Caenorhabditis elegans: one gene and its partner. The protein of the gene in region 2 purifies or fractionates together with the protein of the main gene of each other region. This does not show direct contact. Each region holds a gene or a part of one and is shown on either strand. Other genes may lie near its edges.

Evidence for each region. The genes of interacting proteins can lie anywhere in the genome.
Region 1: the proteins of ZK1098.2 (region 2) and vab-7 fractionate together in Caenorhabditis elegans (co-fractionation; one large-scale study listed by BioGRID). This does not show direct contact.

What each region holds. Positions count from the first base shown.
Region 1 is NC_003281.10:10,918,495-10,922,248, reverse strand, and holds the start of vab-7 (Homeobox protein vab-7), read right to left. Parts: upstream 1,906-3,754; 5' UTR 1,864-1,905; coding exon 1,822-1,863; intron 663-1,821; coding exon 524-662; intron 1-523. UniProt on the Caenorhabditis elegans protein: Transcription factor. Involved in motor neuron fate determination and maintenance, acting as a transcriptional repressor to counteract gene activation by transcription factor unc-3 in a subset of motor neurons.
Region 2 is NC_003281.10:9,527,424-9,531,177, reverse strand, and holds the start of ZK1098.2 (uncharacterized protein), read right to left. Parts: upstream 2,020-3,754; 5' UTR 2,013-2,019; coding exon 1,851-2,012; intron 1,804-1,850; coding exon 1,688-1,803; intron 1,640-1,687; coding exon 1,454-1,639; intron 1,410-1,453; coding exon 1,130-1,409; intron 1,085-1,129; coding exon 954-1,084; intron 912-953; coding exon 371-911; intron 17-370; coding exon 1-16. Other genes in the region: ZK1098.6 (uncharacterized protein), read right to left, coding at 2,489-2,521, 2,574-2,687, 3,021-3,624.

The DNA of each region.
Region 1 (3,754 bases), 1.4 Mb from region 2:
AGTACAGCTTTGTTGAAAAAGCATTGGCGGGGATTTCAAAAGATCTCACTCAGTAAAAGTTGTGACGGGAAAATTCAAATTTTCAGAGTAGAAACTTTGGCGGAGAAATTTTTGGCGGGGAATTTGAATTTAAAAAAAACCAAACTGTAAAAACTATCAAAGTTAGAATGTGGAAATTTGTTTATACTTTTGGCCTAAAAAAGGCAACCTCAGTCACTTCTCGGAGGTAACTGTAATCTTTCACGCGTTGGTTCTAGCCCGTGGCCTAGAAAAAACTCGGCCACTGCCTACCCGCTCCACTACTCCCACGTGTCATAATAGGTGCTCATTGTCCATTTGCTCGTGTCAACCTCATCCATCCGCTCACCCCCCTCCACCTCAATCAATCTCCCTCAATTTGTCACCCCCACCCAAATACGGGACTAAATTAGTGTTCAGCGAGGAGATGAAGCTAGGGGAAGAAGTATTCTTGAATAATTATGTCCCTTCTCATCTCGGGCACACACACACCCATTTTTCTTACCATACGGATGATGACGTCCGGCGGCTGCTGCTGCTGCCGCTGCGGCCACCACACCCATCGGGTCATGATGCTGCTGCTCAAATGGAGGGGAAAATGAGGAAGCTCGAGATGCGGCGACCATCTCCACAAGTGATGGGACCTGGAAATGAGAATTCGAATTACGAGATGTTTTATGTGTTCGGATGGGGGGGGGGGGTGTGTCCTAGGTGATGGGGCTAAAGTAGATTTTATGCTCAACGTGGCCTAGGGACCCAAAACTAGGCCATAACAGTTTTGGGGTGTCAGGGAGGCTTTACTTAGAAACTAAGAGTTGCATCATCCTGGAGCTGTCCGGGGGTCTTCAGAGTTCGGCTAAAAGACTTTAGGGTGTCGAAAAAGTTTCAATGATATATTTTTTCAAATTTTTCTAGATTAAAAGAGGTAAAAACAACTTTTTTTATGTAAACAGTTTTTGATCTGAAAATAAAATCGACATTGTTTTACTAGACATAATTATTTTTCAACTACAATTGGAATTAATTTGAATACTAGAAATAACTGAAGTTTGGCTGTCAAAATAGATAATTTTCGGTAATTTCAACTTTTCAAAAAACGATTTTAATTTTTTTTTCTGTATTTCTTAAATCAAAATTTCAAAGTATTAATAAAAAAGAAAATAGTTTAAAGAATAATTTAAAAACTTCTAGCAAAACAGATTTTAAAAAATTAGAATTTAAATGTTTCAATAATTCAAATAACTATGCAACTATGCATTATAGCTGAGATTATGCAATATGACACTTTTTGATTATGCAACCTAATTAAATTGTCCATAACTCTGCAACTAATGCAGTTATCAAAAAGTTGACAACTAACAAATTATAGCTTAAAACATAATGAACAAATTGTTTGTTGAAAATTTTTTGCTTGCATTATTACAAACCAAGTTATAACCACTTTTAAACACTTTAAAAAAATTATCTTTTAAGCTTCAAACGCCCGATAATCTTGAAAATTGTGAAACTGAATGAAACTTTTACAGTTATCAAATAAAATTTTAGCAACATAAATCTTCTAAACTTTTATGATTAGATTAATAATTTTTCATTAAATTTTATTGCATGAAATTATATAATTTTTTATTTCTACCTATTACAGTTATCAAAAAAGTTGAAAAAATCCCTAAAAAACTACAAAAATTTAGAAACTTTAATTTTAATGGATCTTTGACAACAAGAAGTTTACAGACATTAAATAACAGTTCTACAAAAGTAAAAAACATGGTTCTCAAAACAAAATACAAAACAAAAAAATCTCACCTTATTAACCCCAATAAGGGACTCAATATCAAATGATTGCATGCTAATTTTTAAAATTTTTGATAGTTTTTTTTTCAAATAAAAGAACTTGAGTACTAAAACTCAAAGATAAAGGAAACAATAGAATAAGGCGCTGGGCGGGGCTCAACCTCTCGGTGACTACGGTGGATTTGGCCACGCCCCACGCTCAGATGAGAAGGGCGGCCAATAGAAGAGGGGAAGGAGTGCTGGAATAGAAAGAGACTTTAGATAATAATCTTTTTCCATGACGTTTGAAATTTAAAATACGGCAGATTTGGCATTTTTTTGGAAATTTAATATTAAGAGAAAATGTATTGCTTTTCAAAAACATCAGGTCATTTTTTTTTTCAAGTAAAACTTCAAAAAACCAATTAGTGGCCGAATTTTTGAGTTTTCCAGGCCACGTAACCAAGTAAAGGTTCTAGGGCCCTTACAATGAAGAATATTACACAATGATTAAAATTATTTTGCAGACAGTCTAATTTTTTTTCTAGACCATGTTTCCTAATACCCACGAGGTACCTGCGTGAAAGTTCCCCAATAACGGTTCTCAAAAAACTTCAGTATTCTAGGCCACGTGATCAAGCTAAAGTTCCCGGCCGTTACGATGAAATTCAAAATGAAAATTTTCGAAAATTTCACGGAGGTGGCCGAGGGTTCAAATTTTTTAGGCCACAAAGCAACTGGAGCCCCTTAGCTCATTCAATGTTTCATATTAATATACAAATTATTTTCTCTTTTACGGTGGCCTAATTTTGATTTTTCTAGGCCATGTGCTTAGCTAGGTGAAACGGATGAAAAAACTTATGTAAGTATTTTCAACATAAAAATTCAACATTCAAATTGACAGGTGGCCTAACTTGAATTTTCTAGGCCACTTTTGCCGAGCTCGGCAAATTCGGCAAATCTCTTTTTTCAATATTTGCCGAGCACGGCAAATTCGGCAAATTCGGCAAATTCGCCGTGCTTAACAAACTCGGAAAAATTTGATATTTTTTTATATTTTTTGGAGCACCAAAACTACTGAATTCTTAACACACATCTGGTTTCTGAATAAGTTCCGCGTAGAATGTCTGTTTAAGCATCAAAATAGCTCAATTTTGTATCATTTTACTAAATTTTTGGCTAAAAAATCAATAGTTTTAGTCAAAATTGTACTGTCAAATTTTTGACGTGTGCGGCAAATTTCGAAATTTGCCGAGCTTGGCAAATTCGGCAAATCTACTTTTTTGAAATTTGCCGAGCTCGGCAAACGGCAAATTCGGCAAATTTGCCGCACACCCCTGGTATGTATGATCTCACCGTTCTAATAGAAATTCAATTTTGCGAAATCAGAGTTTTGAAGTTTCTTGGGATTCCCATAACCTTTTTTTCAAAACTTTAAAAGCCATCTACACAATGGCCTAGTTTTTCTTAATTAGGCCACAAAGTCAGATGGAAACAAAAAAGTGTTCCTCCCCATCAAAAAGTGATGAAAGCCTCATCAAAAGTCATTAAGTGACATGACTAAGCAGCTCTTTTATTGTCATTGCATGTATCTCCCCTAAATGTTGCATCGGGAGAGAGAGAATGAATCATTCATCAGGCATTCCGCTCCCCCTTCTCTCTATTTCATTACTTTTTGGTATTGATACACTTGAATACATGTGGAAGACAATACAAAATGGTTTAATGTTTACTCTATTTGTAGGGCATGTCCCTTCAAAAGTTGAGTATAGGCAGTGTGCCTGAGAACACTGGAACTTCCGAACCAGGGGTGGGCCGCGGTTGCCGAAAATTTTAAAATTCGGCAATTTTGAAATTCCGACATTTTTTGTCCGATGGAGCGCGCTTTCATTGTTTTTTTTTCACTTTATCTCTTCATCAAGTTTTCCATCGCGCTCCATCTACTCAGAAAAGAGAAAAGACTTTA
Region 2 (3,754 bases):
CAACTGCCGCCAAACACTGAAAAATTATGGATAAACTCTAAAAGAATATATAAAATTATTATAAGAGCGCAGAAAAATGCACCTTTTGATATCGCTCCGCCCCCAAAATTAAGGTCCCGTTAGGTATTAGCGGCAAAACCAGAAATTCAAACGTTTAAACGTTTTCAAGTATTTTTCCGTTGTCTTTAATGATTTTTCCGTCATAAGGAAATTTAAAAAACTCATTTAGACATAAAACAAAATCAAGATGGACGGAAAATGACTGGAAATGGGTGAAATCAGCAACAACAAAAATGTTTGCCGCCAATACCTATGGAGACCTAATGTTTGGAGGCGGAGCGCATTTCTCTTCGTCCCTATAATAAATTACCTCTTTTGGTTGCTTTGGATCCACTGCTTTGATGTATATTCTATCTAATTGAGCATAAAGTTCGAACATCACCCCAGCCACGTTCTGAATTTGTTGTTCGGGTTGTTCCAACAACTTGAGAGGATTCTCGAACAATGAGAAAATCTCAAAACAATCCTCCAAAACACCTTTACATTGTCTCAATTCGTCGACAAGAGGTTCGATTCGATCGTCCTTCAGATCTGCAATTTGTGGAAAGACATGTAAAATATCTCTCGCGCAGTGATAAGAAGCCAGCCATTCATTTGCACGGGATTGGGCAGGCGTTCTCGAGAGTTGCTCCGTGAGCTGAAAACATAGTAGAATCAGTGAAAGAACATATATATTTATCAAACTTTGTAAAGCCGGAGTTTGGAGGAAATCATTCCACAGATTTCTATTCCTTTTTCGATCACTTTCGCATGTGATTTTTCTGATGAAGTTATCGAACTTTTCCACGGTTTCAGTGGATCGAAAACTCTTTCTGCACATTTTTGAAGAGAATGATAGGCATACGGTGAATCTGAAAATTTTCCTTTTTTTTTAATCAAATCGAGAAAATCACAAGTTACAATTATCGAAATATTCCCCAAGTTTCAGCATATTCGTGGCACCTTCAGCGACAACTTTCAACTTCAGAACATGTTCTTTTGGGAGACCAACACGATCTGTCGCATGAAGAATGTAATCCAGTGTCTGAAAGTTATTCGTAATTAATTTTAAAAATAATATAACAGTAACCTTTTCGGTTATCTTCTTTTCAAAAAGAGGCGTGAATGCGAGAGGAATCACACGTAAACTGAAATATCCGCTCGATCTATTAGTATATGACACAAAAATCGAAAAAGTATCGTCCAGCTGTCGGCCATAGTCTAATATTAAGCATGCATCTCCTTTCGATACAGGATCTTTCAGCTCGGCTCCAATATTATCAAGATATTGACAGGATTTTTCTTTCATAGTTTTCCTGATCCATTCGCCAGAAAGAAATTGATGTTCGTCAACGTTAACATTCGGGTTTCTGAAATTTATTTTTTTTATATACGAAGTGGATACTTGTAATACCCAGTAATTATCATTGAAATGATGAATATTCTAAACTTTTCCGATTCGGCAATATTCAAGGAGACGCCGCTTTCAGTGACGAAATCAAGAATATGATTCTGGAGATTACCAACTACTTGTGGATCAAGCTTCGGTTTCTTTTCTGGTGGACCATTTAACGGCTTACAACGTTGGTTTTTATGGTTTCTGAAAATTCAAATTTTAATTAAAAAAATAAATTTGAAGTCTCCATACTTCATGTGGCCTCCTGTTCGTGCGCTTAGAAAACCAAAACAGTTTTTACATTGAACGAGATCGATTTTTTGTCCGTTTTCGTTCAAAATTTCGTCGAATGTCGGGCATCGATACACCTGAACTAATGAATTTGGACTTTAAAAACTTTAAATTATTCATTTACCACGCTATATTCTCCGCTTTCCAATTTCATTCGAACTTCTTCCTTTTTTCGATTTTTATCGTCTTTTGGTGGAGAAATCTCTTCTCGAGAAAACGCGTCTTTTAAAAATGAAATTCCTGGAACACCCTCGTCCCAATCGGTTTCCTCTATTTTAACCTCCATTTCGCCTGTAAAAATTTAGATTATTGAAGAAAAATTTAAAAATAAAAGTAAAAATATTTATTTAAGCAAATTAGCATAAATAATTAGTAGAAGGCCGCTGCGCGAGGAAATCTATAACATGCAGGTGCGCACACCAAACCTTCCATTTCACGCCGAAATGCAGACAACACGTAGGCAGGCAGGCATGAGGCACGATTTATTGATTTTAGTGCTAAAAGTTGAAAGTAATATTTGAATGGATTTGCCAATTTGATACTTCATTTGACAATTTTTTGAATTTCTACTCAACAATTTGGCTAAATTCCAGTAAAATACACCGTATTTGGTTTTTTTTAAACATTACTTGAACACTCCTGTAGTTTTTCTTTGAAAATTCGAATATAAAAGAAACATGAAATATTTATTGATCGAGGACTATTAGAACTGATTTGCAACGAGTTTGAATTTTTGAACAGAGCATTGAAAATGAAGGAGATCTAATGATGGATGGGCGAATCTCTTTTATTGATCTGGAATAAAAAGTAGTATTAACAGAAGGAACATGGGAAAATGTTGGCTTACACTTTCCACTAGAATTTTTCGCTGTCGTTGAAGAACATCGATTCGCTGGTTCAGGATGTGATGATCGGCAACAGGACAAGTACTTCGGACGATGACTCCGCGAGCACTAGCGGCCTGGAAACTGCGATTTGTGCACCAAAATATGGTATCTAGTCCCGAAACGACCGATTTTCTTAGATTCAAAAACAACTTGTGCCTTTGAGGAGGGAAATCAAATTGATTTTTCCTAGTTTGCATTCAAAATAATTTGATATATTATAGTTTCCCATGCTTTTCAGTGAATTTCAAACAAATTAGAAAATCCCGCAAAACGAAATATTTACGATCTACAGTACTCCTTAAAGGCGCACACACATTTGAACTGAACGAGACCAGATACCGTACTTTTTGAGGCGAAATTTGCAAAACTTGGTCAAACTTTCAAACCAAGTAGAATCAAGTACTAACATTTTCACTAATTTTCTCTTCCAGAGCCATTCGTTCAGTTTTCTCAAGAAGATATTCTTTCTGTGACTGTTTCCTTGCTTCCATCTCTTCCCTCAAAGCATCCTTGATGATCTTGTCAGCTTTTCGCATCTCACTTTCCACATTCTTCCGTTTGATCTTTTCTTTATTTGCTGCATCCTCCAAATGGTTGATCGTTTCAACTATCTCATTGAGCTTCTTTTTTCCATCAACGACCTCCGATTTCAGCAGTTTAATTTCATTTTCTCGCTTTTTCAATATTTCTTGTCCATAAGCTTTCAATTTATAGTATTTTTTGGTCCAATGCACAGTCTCTTTGCTCTTTTGATCGACTTTCTTTTTCAGTTCATCTCTTTCTTTCAGAATTAATTTCATTTCTTCTGAATTTTGATTCTGATCATCAAATGTCTTCTCATCGACCATTTCCATCAATTGGTGCAATTGTGCCTTCATCGCATCACACGTGGCAACTAATTGTTCGTAGACGTTTTTGTCGACAAGAATTGAGTTGTTTTCAAAGATTGTCTGATCCTGACTCTTGTCCAATTGACTAGCATTGAGCGTTTCAGAGCCAAAATTGAAGGACCTGTAATTATTTGTTTCGGTTCAGAATGGATAATTCCTCGATTTTTGCGCCAAAAATACGGTATCTGGTCTCGACACGACATATTTTTTTGAAATGCGGAAAGGGTATGCGCCTTAAAAGAGCACTGTAG